Drosophila melanogaster: one gene and its partner. The protein of the gene in region 1 interacts with the protein of each later gene in a biochemical or structural test. Each region holds a gene or a part of one and is shown in the gene's direction. Other genes may lie near its edges. The genes, in order: Rad23 and CG30031.

The links.
Region 2: of the proteins of Rad23 (region 1) and CG30031, one has a biochemical effect on the other in vitro, tested with the Drosophila melanogaster proteins (one study listed by BioGRID).

Annotation. Positions count from the first base shown.
Region 1 is NC_004353.4:303,230-313,028, forward strand, and holds Rad23 (Rad23), read left to right. Parts: upstream 1-4,863; 5' UTR 4,864-4,994; coding exon 4,995-5,060; intron 5,061-5,183; exon of another isoform or gene 5,184-5,201; coding exon 5,202-5,850; intron 5,851-6,309; coding exon 6,310-6,404; intron 6,405-6,464; coding exon 6,465-6,788; intron 6,789-6,849; coding exon 6,850-6,960; 3' UTR 6,961-7,593; downstream 7,594-9,799. Other genes in the region: Syt7 (synaptotagmin 7), read right to left, coding at 1,787-1,947; Zip102B (Zinc/iron regulated transporter-related protein 102B), read right to left, coding at 9,561-9,799.
Region 2 is NT_033778.4:11,346,534-11,354,759, forward strand, and holds CG30031 (uncharacterized protein), read left to right. Parts: upstream 1-4,277; 5' UTR 4,278-4,293; coding exon 4,294-5,055; 3' UTR 5,056-5,088; downstream 5,089-8,226. Other genes in the region: betaTry (betaTrypsin), read left to right, coding at 1-570; gammaTry (gammaTrypsin), read right to left, coding at 2,561-3,322; CG30025 (uncharacterized protein), read right to left, coding at 7,065-7,826.

The DNA of each region.
Region 1 (9,799 bases):
TATCATATTTAATTATTTAGTATATTTATTAAATCATTTGACTTAATATGATGTAACATTAACATTAAAAGTGTTTTAAAAAAATATTTCGCTTTTAAAAAATTGTCAGATGAGAGACAAATTAGAATTAAACATAAATATAAATGTGTAAACGGTAGCTAATTCGAGCGGCGATTTTAACAAACATATTTAAAGAGCTTTAAAATTATAATAGTCAGGGCGCGAATTTAAAAAAAAATTTTTTTTTTATCATATTGCTAGGAAATTGGCAAAAACTACCCTAATATGTACCATGTAAATTCGTTTCTTCGATCAGAATTGATTTCGGCCCGAAAATCGTCTTCTAGCACAACACGCACACTTATACGAGTTCTCGTCTCTTGTTTTTACTCACACAAGCAAGCAAATTATATTTTTAGATTTCTTACGCTCTCAGCGGGAGTGAGCGGAAAGAGAGTAATTTTGGCAGTCACCAAAAAAGTGGCTGCATAGTGCCAAACCAATGTATGGCCGTTACGCATCTTGTTATTCTAGTGTCTTTGGTATTTGATTATCACTTGTTACGGACTACCAAAGAATCAATCGTTTTCTTTTTTTGTGTATATGTATGTACTATTCCCTTTTGCACATTCTCTCAACTTGTGTGACAAAAATTACGATAGCTTGCGTTTCGATTGGTTGTGATTTTTGAGCGATTTTTGATCAGGATCACTAGCCGAGACGAACTAACCCTTTACGTCCGTCCATCTGCTCGCTCGTCCGTATGTACACTACTTTCAAGCTAACTGCATACAACTCTCGCAAAGTCTTATTTCAACATCTTCTCGACATTCTTTTTGGCGTACCGATAAAAACTGGAATGAAAAGAAAAAATAAAATAACACCCACCACCTTAGAAACTAAAAAAGATAGACAGTTGAGACTAAGCATGTAAATTCCAGAGACATAGGCACAGCTCAATATTGTTTCCTGATGTCGCCACGCCACAAAATTAAAACATTTTTCAAAATGTGAATAAAAATTTACGAGACTAGCAAAAATATGAAAATTCATTAATACATTTTTTAAAAGTGTCGGCGTGGCAGTTTTGGGATGGTTGTGGGCTTTAGAGTGGGCGTAGCATGAAGTTGGCAATTTAATAGAAATTTACAAAACTAATAAACGTATGAAAATACGACGGGCGGTAGTGTGGGCTTGGCAACATTTGTCTCTGGAAACTGCATGCATAATCTCAACATTCCAGCTTTTATAGTTCCTGGGATCGAGATCGGACAGACGGAATATATATACTTTATATGGTCGGAAACGCTTCCTTCTACCTGTTACTTACTTTTCATCGAATCTACTATACCCTTTTAATCTACAAGTAACGGGCATAATTAGCAATTTATATCGATTGGTTCCCGTTACAGAAGAATAAAATATTTTAACGTTAAAATTTTGTATTTGCCAATCAATCATCCGATAATAAGCTATAAATTATGATGTTTCATTAAACTGCATACAACTCAAAAATGTTGGTTTTTTGTAGCTAAATTATAATTATATATTATTATATATTGCAGAGCATGATATATAAATATTCTAAATATTCCGAGGGTACTCAACTAACGTATTTATAAAAAAGTCAAATGAATAGGACAATTTAGAAATACTGCATACTCAAAATCGTTGATAATATACAGTCATAGACATAAATAGATCCTCTATCGCTTGTTAAGAGTCGAATGTCTGTCCCCATGAAATATATAAAGTCATATACTAAACAGGAAATGCAAATACTTACCGAAGACTATAACTACTAGATTCCTCATCTTCATTTGGTTCAATAAACTGTAACTGTGATCTTTTATGCCTCCACCACAAGTATCCTCCAGCCAGAAAAAGAGCGATTGTAATAATTAATCCCAATATAGCCAAGCAAGCTATAAGTACTATGCTTGCCATGTCTGTAATAGTGAGAAGTATGTGTAATTTTTTTACGACAATTCGAATCTTAATTCAAGTAAATAACAAAGAAATCGATTATGTAAGATATAATATCTTCGGGCATACATATTTATTTCATGCAGATAAGAACGTAACTTTCTGTAACTAAGGTGTATAATAATATATAATAACAACACCCAACTTATTTTTATTTGTTTATTTTTTATACCACAGTACCACCACAGTATAAACTATGTCGCACTTTAAGATGTAGAGCATATAATATTGTTATTTAATGGCTTTCTTTTTAAAGGAGTACACATTGTTTTATGTTTGACTTATGTAAATCTCATAAAACTTGGTCCAAAACATTATTATTTGTTTAGTTCGCTGTCATAAAGGTTGCAGGTGCCGGAGATCCCAATTAAGAAATAAGCAAACCAAACTAATCCAACATTCAGTATAATTGTTACAGTACTCTATGTTTTTACACTGTCTTATTAGATTGCGTGTTGTTATTACAAATTTGAGTCTTTCCTTTGAATTTAAATAACGGCAAAAACTGTATTTTACTTTAAAACTACTTTATTCCTAAAACAATATGTCGTTTAAGTTAATATCGAGCTACTTATGCCAATGAAAACACGTCGAATACATTTTTTTATAAGAGCTCGTTTGCATGAAAAGCTCGACTCTGTGCGCATGTCATTGAAAATACTAGTATATGTATGCATATACATAGGTACGAGTTATAATACGGAGTACTTTGAAACATTTACCAAAATATAATTGTGGCTGAGTGCAGCCAATTTTGTTGTGCTACTCATTAGGAATTCCCAAAATCGGAACTTAGGGGGATAATAACTGACAAGAGTTCTGAATACAGCCATCCTTATTCTACCTTGACAAGTGCATCGAATTGTTTACTTCCTCTAGATCCTGTCATCAAATAGTTTTCTTGGCAGATCCCGATATGTCACGGTTAAAAAGAAAGCTAGGAGAGAGTGCACGAAGAAATGAAAATCTGATGCTAACACAAGAAATGAAATTAATTCACATGAATACACTTATTTATTATTATTAATTGATAAGTGGAAAAACAATGCATTCGTGTATTTTTTGTATTATTCTTTGCAAATGTCTAATGCACAAGATTATTATTACAATTAAAAATCTTCAACAGCAAATTTTTATTTTTTGTTTTTATGGTATATACAATTATTTAGAATTAACACATTTGTCATTTTTGAAATTGTATCTTTTAAAATTCTCGATATTTACTACATTTAAACACCCCACTGATGATACAGCAATAGTTATCTTAATTTCGAAATTTTCGTTAATCTTATATGAACTCAAATCATATATGTTCACAAGACAGAAGATAAGCATTGATGTATATCTTTTGAAAGGAATACGGTATTACCAAAGACACTAGAATAACAAGATGCGTAACGGCCATACATTGGTTTGCCCAAAGACCCTAGAATAACAAGATGCGTAACGCCATACGATTTTTTGGCACACGATTTTTTGGCCGTGGCTCTAGAGGTGGCTCCAGGCTCTCTCGAATTTTTGTTTGAGAGCGAGAGAGCGAAGAGCGCTACAGCGAACAGCTCTTTTCAACGCACAAAGTGGTAGGAGACATCTGTATGTGTGCACACGTATGCTCATGCATTGTAAATTTGACAAAATATGCCCTTCACCTCAGAAGTTTTTAGACTTTAAATCTATATTATTTTTGATCAATTGGCACCATGCGAAAAATTCTTGTTTTGCATTGCCTTAACGTTATTATTATTTGAAAATATATCAGAAATAGCCAAATCTATGTACATATTATCACAAAAATAAATTTCAAAAATGACTTTATATAAGAATATTTGTCATTAGAGTATTCATCTTGCGGCGTGTGAAAAATTAATAAGGCAATGATTGTTGAGTGCTTGTGTCCGCACTTCGTGCCTCAAGATATGAACAAAGCATTAGAATTATTCTAGTATATTACTTTGATATTACTTTTGCAATAAACAGTTATCATATTTAATTATTTAGTATATTTATTAAATCATTTGACTTAATATGATGTAACATTAACATTAAAAGTGTTTTAAAAAAATAATTTCTCTTTTAAAAAATTGTCAGATGAGAGACAAATTAGAATTAAACATAAATATAAATGTGTAAACGGTAGCTAATTCGAGCGGCGATTTTAACAAACAAATTTAAAAAGCTTTAAAATTATAATAGTCAGGGCGCGAATTTTTAAAAATTTTTTTATTTTATCATATTGCTAGGAAATTGGCAAAAACTACCCTAATATGTACCATGTAAATTCGTTTCTTCGATCAGAATTGATTTCGGCCCGAAAATCGTCTTCTAGCACAACACGCACACTTATACGCGTTCTCGTCTCTTGTTTTTACTCACACAAGCAATCAAATTATATTTTTAGATTTCTTACGCTCTCAGCGGGAGTGAGCGGAAAGAGAGTAATTTTGGCAGTCACCAAAGAAGTGGCTGCATAGTGCCAAACCAATGTATGGCCGTTACGCATCTTGTTATTCTAGTGTCTTTGGTTAAACTAAAGTATTTTTAAAGAAATACCGAACTACTTAAACGGAATTAAAAATTAAATTTCTTTGAAATTTATTGATCATCAACCGATGGTATATTATAAATAGACTTATATACTACAGGTATAACCTGTATATAGTATGATCTAAATCGTTGATATAATGAAATACTAACTACAGTCAAACCACGGACAATTGTTTATTTGTTACGTTCATTATGACTTCAATATTTCATATTTCATTATAAATTTCATTACAAATCTTTACATCTTTCTTGATGTGTGAAAATGTTATAAGGACTATTGAACTCTTTGGTTTGTGCTGCGATTTTGTGTCTTTTAAGCGAGAAGGTATAATTTGCCAGTCCATGTGCGGTCACACTGATGACAAATCGTTTTTATCAAGCGATATTGGGAACTAACTTTCGAGTTTGCATATGTGTATGCATATGTATATTTAATTAAGTTTTGGTTTTGTCTGATACACAAGATGATTATTACAATTAAAAATCTTCAACAGCAAACTTTTACTATTGAGTTTGCCCCGGAAAAAACGGTATGTGTACAAATAGTCAAATACTAGTATATTCACATGTATGGTATATACAATTATTGCAAATGCATATGTGTGCTTATACAGGTATTTCTTACAATTAATTTGTTGTACCATAATAAGCAGGGATTCTGATTACAAAAGGTTTTGGAACTGAAGAAGAAAATATTCGAGGAGCGCGGTCCAGAGTACGTCGCCGAAAAACAAAAACTGATCTACGCTGGCGTCATATTGACGGATGACCGCACCGTTGGTTCATACAACGTTGATGAAAAAAAGTTCATTGTGGTAATGTTGACACGCGATTCGTCTAGTTCAAATCGTAATCAACTTAGTGTAAAAGAAAGTAATAAATTGACTAGCACCGACGATTCAAAGCAATCTATGCCTTGCGAAGAAGCCAACCATACCAATTCGCCTAGTTCCACAAATACAGAAGATTCAGTTTTATCACGTGAAACCAGACCTTTATCTAGTGACGAATTGATTGGCGAGTTGGCCCAGGCTTCCTTACAATCGCGCGCTGAATCTAATTTGCTTATGGGTGACGAATACAACCAAACAGTCCTATCAATGGTGGAAATGGGTTACCCAAGAGAGCAGGTTGAACGTGCGATGGCTGCTAGTTATAACAACCCGGAAAGAGCCGTTGAATATCTCATTAATGGCATACCTGCAGAGGAAGGTACTTTTTACAATAGGCTGAATGAATCAACGAATCCTAGTCTAATCCCCTCCGGACCGCAACCTGCGTCGGCAACCTCTGCCGAGCGTTCAACAGAATCAAATTCAGGTAACTTGATGGGATTTCAATCAGCAGTCAATTTATGTATTCTTGTATGAAACGAAAATATATAATTTCTACCCAGAAGTACTAAATTTGCACACTTCAAAACATAGTGAAATTAATAAACCCGATTTGGCTCTCGCTCTTTAATGAAATTATACGGCCTTAACATAATTGCGTTAGTTTTCCTGGTCAAGAAATATTGTTGATCAAAACTTATGTTGCACATTCGTTAATAAATAATAAAAGAGTTCTCTTAGTACTGGAAATATATGCAGCTGTTAAAGATTCACTAAAATGTTTGTGAGCTCGTTGTCCCGCAGTATCATTTACATATATATGTCAACAGACACTAAAGGAGCGATAATTCACGAATTTTTGTCACTATTCTCTTCAAGGACAGGGCATCACTATATGTTTTTAGTTAATTTAATTATTATTTAATTATTTATATTTACGTTTCAGACCCCTTTGAATTTTTACGTAGCCAGCCACAGTTTCTTCAAATGCGATCTTTAATTTATCAAAACCCTCATCTTTTGCATGCAGTATTGCAGCAGGTAAGTACACTTATAATAATAATTACATGACACGTAAATGATAATTTTTTTTACGTATAGATTGGTCAGACAAACCCAGCCCTTTTACAACTTATTTCGGAGAACCAAGATGCGTTTCTCAATATGCTTAATCAACCGATTGACCGCGAATCGGAGTCAGGCGCCACCGTTCCTCCCGTTTCGAATGCGCGGATTCCTTCAACTTTGGACAATGTTGACCTCTTTTCTCCAGATTTAGAAGTAGCTACTTCAGCACAAAGATCAGCCGCGGGTACAAGTGCAGCACATCAAAGCGGTAGCGCAGCGGATAACGAAGACTTGGAACAACCTTTAGGAGTATCAACCATTCGTTTAAATCGCCAAGATAAGGACGCAATAGAACGGGTATATAGGAGTGAATAATTATATATGGACTGTCGAGTTACTTAATATATTCTTCTTCTAGCTAAAAGCTCTTGGATTCCCAGAGGCCCTTGTACTGCAAGCGTACTTCGCTTGTGAAAAGAACGAGGAACAAGCAGCTAATTTTTTGCTATCGTCTAGCTTCGATGATTAGGATGACAAAATGTAAGAAGTTATGCAAATAACACCGGAAGCGTTACATTTAAAGTTAGATGTTCTTAAATTAAATGTAAAATGTCGATCATAAAAATTCTTTTATATTCTTTTAATACCGTCGGCGTATTGTACTTGTTATTTGTTAAAAATTGCAGCCATGGGTAAAATAGAGTTACGATGTCATTTTTACTAAATATTTCACCACGACATTGTCTTCAGCATAAGACTGCAAATGTCTACAAATTTATCTGTGCCAATCCATGGTAGGGAGGCCTTGGATTAGGCCTTCACCTAATGGATGGCAAAGTATATTTCTAGTGTGTGTATTTCTAGTGTATATGCAATACACACATTAATTATTTTAAGGTCGTATTAAGCTAAAGAAGTCTTATGATTTATTCTTTCCTTATCTTGGTTGATTTATAAAATATTTTTTTGACTAGTGGGAGTCCACAATTAAGTCACTTAACACATAAAGTACTTTTTGTCGTCCTGGATGTTGGACATATGACTAAAATATATTAATCATTGTATTACATAAATTTCGTGTTTTTTTATTGTAAATAATGTCCGCAATTATGCCCTAATAAGCTGTGGCGTCTCTTTGGTGATTCCTTTCAGGATGAGTCGGAGAAATAAAACAATTTCATTAATTGCATGACATTCATAACAATTCTATAGTCGAGTGCCTCGACTATCAGATACCCTTTACTCACGAAAAAACTAATTAAAATTTTTATAAATATTTTTTATTGCTTATTTTTACAGGAATAAATGTTCTCCAGTTTTACAGTACTTAGATTATCATTAATTTACAAATATACAAAACTGTAGAACATTTGGACTTATGATACTTTTCTGCTTGCCAATTAATACGACAAATATAAAACTCGAACATTGTAATATGCATTATTAATGCAAAGAATTCTACACTTTAATATTAATAAATCTCTAATAGTTTCATGTATGGCTATGGTCCCCTCTATAATGTTGCTACAATTATAAATCTTTCCTGACTCAATGTAGATTCAAAGACACAAGAATTATTGGTAGATTTGGTAGAACGCAGGTAAGTGGAAAGAGAAGCACTCGTTAATACTTCTTTCCTTGACACGTTCCAGAACTTTAGACTGGGTCGAATTAACTTTATAAACATGGGCATACCCACCGGACCACAAATAACGTTATTCTAGTGTCTTTGGTTTGACTGTGTTAATGACAAATCTTTAAGCTCAAAATTGTAGTATAGAAACTCTTTGGTGACCATTGACACGAATAGGACTGCCGACCACAGTGACATACATATAAAGTGAAAACATACACATTTATGTGGAAATGGTCTGGCAACGACGAAAGACAAGCTTCACAGCTTATCTAACGACAAATCAAAAAGTTAGAACGATAGAGTGGTGTTTACACACAAACTACCGGATTGATGTACACTTTCTCATATCGATATGACGCAACCTAGTGATTTTGGAAGTATTAGTAAGATGCTACGCGGTGAAAAGATACAAAATATTATAAGATTGTATATATGTAAAGGGAAAACAATTTATCCTAATTTGAAACAAATCCATGCTACAAGTAATTGAACATTTTACCAAATTTTGTCGATTGTGCCCAAGGAGAAGAGAATCGAGATCAGGTTTCGGAATGGCAACGAAAAGGAATAGTACGCAAGTCGGCGCCGAATTTCGCCAGCAGACTCGTCATAGTCAAAAACAAAGATGGATCAACTTAACGCCATGGTTTAAAAAACTGCCTAAAACTGCAGTCAGCAAAGCTATTTGTCGTCGTGATTTTGGGAAACAGTTTTTTTCACGTTCTAGTAGAAGAGAAGTGCCCATAATACACATCATTTATAGCCAAAGAAGTTTTTAAAGATCTTTGCTAAGATATGATTCATATTTACAAGACAAGACAAGAACAGCGGAAATAAAGAACGCGCGAAAAATATTCCGCAAAGAAGTTGAGCAGAATTAAAGTAGAAAAGACGCAGAAAGGTATCTATAAATGTAGAAAGTCATAGCAGAAGTAGTTATAGAAATCCGTAATCTAAGGCCGTAACAGAAGACGTTATCCAGTAAACCAATGGTGACATTGCCAAGCTGCCTTTAAACCGTCTCTTACTTTTTACTACCATTCTGAGAACGTAAACTATCCATTGTTATTAAATACAATAAAAACATATATAATTATAAATTAACATATAGTATATAGGAGCCGGAGTCAAAATTCTGATGCCAATGAATTCGGCGCCGACTTGCGTACTATTCCTGCCTGCGCAAGTCTAAATATTAAAGTAAAATATTTCTTGCACTACTTTTTGACCTTCCTCATTTTGCTTGGTTTACTCACAATACATTCTCGTATAAGGCCTCTCAAATCACTCAACTTTACAGAAAGCTGACAAAAGTTGACGTCGGTACCAAATTTGACTTTCATGCGACAATTCATTAAATTCAAAATCTTTGTGCAAAGCACTTAATGTTAATAATTGTATATCCGAGAAATTAAACCCAATATATTTATAGCTTAATATCCCTTAACTTTTACTTCATCTTATTTGACAAAAATATATGTATTACTACATTACTAGTGATTATGTCCAAATGTTATAATTAGGGGTAGCAGTGCGCCGCAAATCAGAATTACCAATTCACTATATTTTAGTGCTTGAATACTATTGCTTCCATTTATATCATTCGTAGCAACACCTCGAGATTCCTCTAGCAAACAATAATCATGCTGATCGCTTTTCGTAAATCCCCCTTGGGTAAGCTCTGGTAAAACATGCACAGTTGCTACGTACAAAAATGTTCCAGCGGAGAATA
Region 2 (8,226 bases), on another chromosome or scaffold:
GTGATCGTGACCGCCGCTCACTGCCTGCAGTCCGTGTCCGCCTCCTCCCTGCAGATCCGCGCCGGATCCAGCTACTGGAGCTCTGGTGGCGTCGTCGCCAAGGTTTCCTCTTTCAAGAACCACGAGGGTTACAACGCCAACACCATGGTCAACGACATCGCTGTGCTCCATCTGAGCTCCTCTCTGAGCTTCAGCTCCACCATCAAGGCCATCGGTCTGGCTAGCTCCAACCCCGCCAACGGTGCTGCTGCCTCCGTCTCCGGATGGGGTACCGAGTCCTCTGGCTCCAGCTCCATTCCCTCCCAGCTGCGTTATGTCAACGTGAACATCGTCAGCCAGAGCCGGTGCTCTTCTTCCTCCTATGGCTACGGAAACCAGATCAAGAGCTCCATGATCTGCGCTTTTGCCAGCGGCAAGGACTCGTGCCAGGGTGACTCCGGTGGCCCACTGGTCTCCGGCGGAGTCCTCGTCGGTGTTGTCTCCTGGGGATACGGATGTGCTGCCGCTAACTACCCCGGTGTCTATGCCGATGTTGCTGCCCTCCGCTCCTGGGTGATCAACAACGCCTAATTATTTTTCGAAATAAATCATATATGAACAGTTTATGACGGTCGTCAGTTTATTTTAAAAGATGGTCTTAGTTAAAAATCAGGACACAGGGTTCACATTTTTAGATGGTAATGACTGTTCGAGTGCAATGACTATTAGATATAGTGAGTTGTGCAAGCAGTAAAGGGACTGCTTTTAGGACTATGGAAATTGATTGATTGGATTTAACTATCCCCATATTCTGTTAGAATGCCCTAAGGATTATTAGCGTGATTGGAATTGTAAACAACTAGGCATTATTAAGAAGCAAACTTGCGCAATGTAGTCGTAAATAAAACATGCATTTTTAACTACAACTTTAAAGCTCTATTAGTTTTCCAAGACTGTACGTTAGGCGGATAGGGAAATCTAGATCATGATCAAGAAGAATATGAATTTTATAGGCTCGATACGCATCATTCTACATAAGACTTACTTTATAACGATATATTCGTAACCATTTTATTTTTATACTCTTTACTCGTAGAGTAAAAGTGTATAATAGATTCGTTTAAATGTATCTAACAGCTACAAGTTAGTGTTTCCAATCATATAATGTACATATATTCTTGATCAGGATCGATAGCCCCATCCGTCTGTCGAGTTTCTTAGCAACTATAAAAGCTAGAAGCTTGAGATTAGGCATACAGATTCTAGAGACATAGACCCATATTTCCCCTTTCCCCTCCTCCCCTCCCTCCCCTCCCACAATTTTGAAAAATATTTTGATTTTTTTTCACATTTTTATTGTTTTGTAAATTTGTATCGATTCGCCAAAAATATTTTTGCCACGCCCACTCTAACGCCCACAAACCAATCAAAACTTTTTTTTCATTCATTCATTCATTCATTTCATTCATTAATTTCATTCATTCATTTCATTCATTAATTTCATTCATTCATTTCATTCATTAATTTCATTCATTTCATTCATTTCATTCATTTCATTCATTTCATTCATTTCATTCATTTCATTCATTTCATTCATTTCATTCATTTCATTCATTTCATTCATTTCATTCATTTCATTCATTTCATTCATTTCATTCATTTCATTCATTTCATTCATTTCATTCATTTCATTCATTTCATTCATTTCATTCATTTCATTCATTTCATTCATTTCATTCATTTCATTCATTTCATTCATTTCATTCATTTCATTCATTTCATTCATTTCATTCATTTCATTCATTTCATTCATTTCATTCATTTCATTCATTTCATTCATTTCATTCATTTCATTCATTTCATTCATTTCATTCATTTCATTCATTTCATTCATTTCATTCATTTCATTCATTTCATTCATTTCATTCATTTCATTCATTTCATTCATTTCATTCATTTCATTCATTTCATTCATTTCATTCATTTCATTCATTTCATTCATTTCATTCATTTCATTCATTTCATTCATTTCATTCATTTCATTCATTTCATTCATTTCATTCATTTCATTCATTTCATTCATTTCATTCATTTCATTCATTTCATTCATTTCATTCATTCATTTATATCATTCATTCATTTCATTCATATCATTCATTCATTTCATTCATTCATTTTCACTGTGGAGTTTCTATCGATATGCCAGAAGAAAGATGCTAGTTCGTTCACCCTGACACTAGCTGAGTAACGAGAGTATCTGATAGTCGGGGAACTCGAATATAGCATTCTCTTTTGTTAAAGAGTAAGTTCGGTTAACATAAGTTAAACTATGTAGTAATTGATCGAAAACGGGTACCTCAACAAATTACCTTTAATTTATTAAAATGATTTAAACCATTATTAACCTCCCGACAGAAATCTAGGTGTTTGTTATTTTTCAGGAGGTGAGAATACATTTTTTAGAAGGTTTCCTTTCCCATTTGCTGAATAAGACACATTACTGTTGAATCAGTAATAGGTCAAAACCACAATGAAACATAATAAAAGTAATATCCAAACTGAAATTTATTTCGCATACTTCTTAGGCATTGCTAATAACCCAGGAGCGGAGGGCAGCAACATCGGCATAGACACCGGGGTAGTTGGAGTAAGCGCATCCGTATCCCCAGGAGACAACACCGACGAGGACTCCGCCGGAGACCAGTGGGCCACCGGAGTCACCCTGGCAGGCATCCTTGCCGCTGGCAGCAGCGCAGATCATGGTGCTGCGGATCTGGCTACCGTATCCGTAGGTGGAGGAAGCACACTGGCTCTGGCTAACGATGTTCACGTTCACGTACTGCAGCTGGGAGGGGATGGAGCTGGATCCGTAGGAGAGAGTGCCCCATCCGGAGACGGAGGCCGCAGCGCCGTTGGCGGGGTTGGAGCTAGCCAGACCGATGGCCTTGATGGTGGAGCTGAAGGTCAGGGCGCCGTTGATCTTGATGATGGCAATGTCGTTGACCATGGTGTTGGCGTTGTAGCCCTCGTGGTTCTTGAAGGAGGACACAGAGAAGGTGACACCGCCGGAGCTCCAGTAGCTGGATCCAGCACGGATCTGCAGGACGGAAGCGGACACGGACTGCAGACAGTGAGCGGCGGTCACGATGACGTTGCTGGAGTAGATGGATCCACCGCAGGAGTGGCTTCCACTGCGCTGCAGGGAGATCTGCCAGGGGAAGCTGCTGATGGTGGTAGCAGAGCCGCCGACAATGCGGCCATCCAACTGAGGCAGGAGTCCCTCAGGGACGGTGCCTCCCAGGGCGCAGGCTACTGCAGACAACAAGATCACGAACTTCAGCATGGTGCGAATCCAATGAGTTGACTCTAAACTGGACACCCCTTTTATACAGGGACCTATCTCTTTGTGGCGCTCTTATCATAAATTTCAATTATTTTTATCACTTGCTTGTCAGGGAAATCCAAAATATTTTTTAAATGTGTGACCGACAAATAGATTTCGCGAATAAGAAGTATATACGTATACAAAGTCCAGATTCATGCCAAACGATTTTTTTTTGCAATAAGTTGGTCATTTAAATAGCTTGAAAAAGATAGTCACATAAAGATATCGGGGTTTAAACGAAATTAAAACAATTTATATTTCTATAAACAATTTATTGTGTTTTAAATAAACAGACACCATAATTTTTTAAAAGAAATTATATAACTTATGAGAAACATCATGAGCATTACTAGAAAACAATGCAATTGAACGCATAATCATGTAATTAAAATTAATGCAAAGGCGATTAAATTGTTCTTAAAATTAATGGTTTTACAAAATTCACAAATTAAAATGCTAAACAGTTATTTTCTTTTAAAAAGCCAATAATATTAATAGTTATGCACACAATTATGTATAATAATTGGATTAGATTAGAACTAAATCAAGTTGAATGACAAGCATCCACTTTTAAAAAATTCCACAATGTTATTGTACAAGTTTAATCCCCTATTTAAATATGTAAGTCGAAAAAAGACGTTCCCATCAATACCTTGCAAATTAAATATAATAAAAAGAACGCGAATTATTTAGAAAGGTAATATAAAAGTAGTTACACTTTCCTTGCATTTTTATTTATTTTTGTGATAAAGAGCCGTGCGACTTCTGAGTTGTGGAATATCATTTGGGCACTTCAACGGTATTATTTGGGTTTTCCTGACACGCAGGTGATAAAAATAATTGAAAGTTGTGATTATAGTGCCAAGAACAGATTGGAAACTCGTATAAAAGGGGTGTCCAGTTTAGAGTCAACTCATTGGATTCGCACCATGCTGAAGTTCGTGATCTTGTTGTCTGCAGTAGCCTGCGCCCTGGGAGGCACCGTCCCTGAGGGACTCCTGCCTCAGTTGGATGGCCGCATTGTCGGCGGCTCTGCTACCACCATCAGCAGCTTCCCCTGGCAGATCTCCCTGCAGCGCAGTGGAAGCCACTCCTGCGGTGGATCCATCTACTCCAGCAACGTCATCGTGACCGCCGCTCACTGTCTGCAGTCCGTGTCCGCTTCCGTCCTGCAGATCCGTGCTGGATCCAGCTACTGGAGCTCCGGCGGTGTCACCTTCTCTGTGTCCTCCTTCAAGAACCACGAGGGCTACAACGCCAACACCATGGTCAACGACATTGCCATCATCAAGATCAACGGCGCCCTGACCTTCAGCTCCACCATCAAGGCCATCGGTCTGGCTAGCTCCAACCCCGCCAACGGCGCTGCGGCCTCCGTCTCCGGATGGGGCACTCTCTCCTACGGATCCAGCTCCATCCCCTCCCAGCTGCAGTACGTGAACGTGAACATCGTTAGCCAGAGCCAGTGTGCTTCCTCCACCTACGGATACGGTAGCCAGATCCGCAGCACCATGATCTGCGCTGCTGCCAGCGGCAAGGATGCCTGCCAGGGTGACTCCGGTGGCCCACTGGTCTCCGGCGGAGTCCTCGTCGGTGTTGTCTCCTGGGGATACGGATGCGCTTACTCCAACTACCCCGGTGTCTATGCCGATGTTGCTGCCCTCCGCTCCTGGGTTATTAGCAATGCCTAAGAAGTATGCGAAATAAATTTCAGTTTGGATATTACTTTTATTATGTTTCATTGTGGTTTTGACCTATTACTGATTCAACAGTAATGTGTCTTATTCAGCAAATGGGAAAGGAAACCTTCTAAAAAATGTATTCTCACCTCCTGAAAAATAACAAACACCTAGATTTCTGTCGGGAGGTTAATAATGGTTTAAATCATTTTAATAAATTAAAGGTAATTTGTTGAGGTACCCGTTTTCGATCAATTACTACATAGTTTAACTTATGTTAACCGAACTTACTCTTTAACAAAAGAGAATGCTATATTCGAGTTCCCCGACTATCAGATACTCTCGTTACTCAGCTAGTGTCAGGGTGAACGAACTAGCATCTTTCTTCTGGCATATCGATAGAAACTCCACAGTGAAAATGAATGAATGAAATGAATGAATGATATGAATGAAATGAATGAATGATATAAATGAATGAATGAAATGAATGAAATGAATGAAATGAATGAAATGAATGAAATGAATGAAATGAATGAAATGAATGAAATGAATGAAATGAATGAAATGAATGAAATGAATGAAATGAATGAAATGAATGAAATGAATGAAATGAATGAAATGAATGAAATGAATGAAATGAATGAAATGAATGAAATGAATGAAATGAATGAAATGAATGAAATGAATGAAATGAATGAAATGAATGAAATGAATGAAATGAATGAAATGAATGAAATGATATGAAATGAATGAAATGAATGAAATGAATGAAATGAATGAAATGAATGAAATGAATGAAATGAATGAAATGAATGAAATGAATGAAATGAATGAAATGAATGAAATGAATGAAATGAATGAAATGAATGAAATGAATGAAATGAATGAAATGAATGAAATGAATGAAATGAATGAAATGAATGAAATGAATGAAATGAATGAAATGAATGAAATGAATGAAATGAATGAAATGAATGAAATGAATGAAATGAATGAAATGAATGAAATGAATGAAATGAATGAAATGAATGAAATGAATGAAATGAATGAAATGAATGAAATGAATGAAATGAATGAAATGAATGAAATGAATGAATGAAATGAATGAATGAAATTAATGAATGAAATGAATGAATGAAATTAATGAATGAAATGAATGAATGAAATTAATGAATGAAATGAATGAATGAATGAATGAAAAAAAAGTTTTGATTGGTTTGTGGGCGTTAGAGTGGGCGTGGCAAAAATATTTTTGGCGAATCGATACAAATTTACAAAACAATAAAAATGTGAAAAAAATCAAAATATTTTTCAAAATTGTGGGAGGGGAAATATGGGTCTATGTCTCTAGAATCTGTATGCCTAATCTCAAGCTTCTAGCTTTTATAGTTGCTAAGAACTCGACAGACGGATGGGGCTATCGATCCTGATCAAGAATATATGTACATTATATGATTGGAAACACTAACTTGTAGCTGTTAGATACATTTAAACGAATCTATTATACACTTTTACTCTACGAGTAAAGAGTATAAAAATAAAATGGTTACGAATATATCGTTATAAAGTAAGTCTTATGTAGAATGATGCGTATCGAGCCTATAAAATTCATATTCTTCTTGATCATGATCTAGATTTCCCTATCCGCCTAACGTACAGTCTTGGAAAACTAATAGAGCTTTAAAGTTGTAGTTAAAAATGCATGTTTTATTTACGACTACATTGCGCAAGTTTGCTTCTTAATAATGCCTAGTTGTTTACAATTCCAATCACGCTAATAATCCTTAGGGCATTCTAACAGAATATGGGGATAGTTAAATCCAATCAATCAATTTCCATAGTCCTAAAAGCAGTCCCTTTACTGCTTGCACAACTCACTATATCTAATAGTCATTGCACTCGAACAGTCATTACCATCTAAAAATGTGAACCCTGTGTCCTGATTTTTAACTAAGACCATCTTTTAAAATAAACTGACGACCGTCATAAACTGTTCATATATGATTTATTTCGAAAAATAATTAGGCGTTGTTGATCACCCAGGAGCGGAGGGCAGCAACATCGGCATAGACACCGGGGTAGTTGGAGTAAGCGCATCCGTATCCCCAGGAGACAACACCGACGAGGACTCCGCCGGAGACCAGTGGGCCACCGGAGTCACCCTGGCAGGCATCCTTGCCGCTGGCAGCAGCGCAGATCATGGTGCTGCGGATCTGGCTACCGTATCCGTAGGTGGAGGAAGCACACTGGCTCTGGCTAACGATGTTCACGTTCACGTACTGCAGCTGGGAGGGGATGGAGCTGGATCCGTAGGAGAGAGTGCCCCATCCGGAGACGGAGGCCGCAGCGCCGTTGGCGGGGTTGGAGCTAGCCAGACCGATGGCCTTGATGGTGGAGCTGAAGGTCAGGGCGCCGTTGATCTTGATGATGGCAATGTCGTTGACCATGGTGTTGGCGTTGTAGCCCTCGTGGTTCTTGAAGGAGGACACAGAGAAGGTGACACCGCCGGAGCTCCAGTAGCTGGATCCAGCACGGATCTGCAGGACGGAAGCGGACACGGACTGCAGACAGTGAGCGGCGGTCACGATGACGTTGCTGGAGTAGATGGATCCACCGCAGGAGTGGCTTCCACTGCGCTGCAGGGAGATCTGCCAGGGGAAGCTGCTGATGGTGGTAGCAGAGCCGCCGACAATGCGGCCATCCAACTGAGGCAGGAGTCCCTCAGGGACGGTGCCTCCCAGGGCGCAGGCTACTGCAGACAACAAGATCACGAACTTCAGCATGGTGCGAATCCAATGAGTTGACTCTAAACTGGACACCCCTTTTATACGAGTTTCCAATCTGTTCTTGGCACTATAATCACAACTTTCAATTATTTTTATCACCTGCGTGTCAGGAAAACCCAAATAATACCGTTGAAGTGCCCAAATGATATTCCACAACTCAGAAGTCGCACGGCTCTTTATCACAAAAATAAATAAAAATGCGAGGAAAGTGTAACTACTTTTATATTACCTTTCTAAATAATTCGCTTTCTTTTTATTATATTTAATTTTTGCAAGGTATTGATGGGAACGTCTATTTTCGACTTACATATTTAAATAGGGGATTAAACTTGTACAATAACATTGTGGAATTTTTTAAAAGTGGATGCTTGTCATTCAACTTGATTTAGTTCTAATC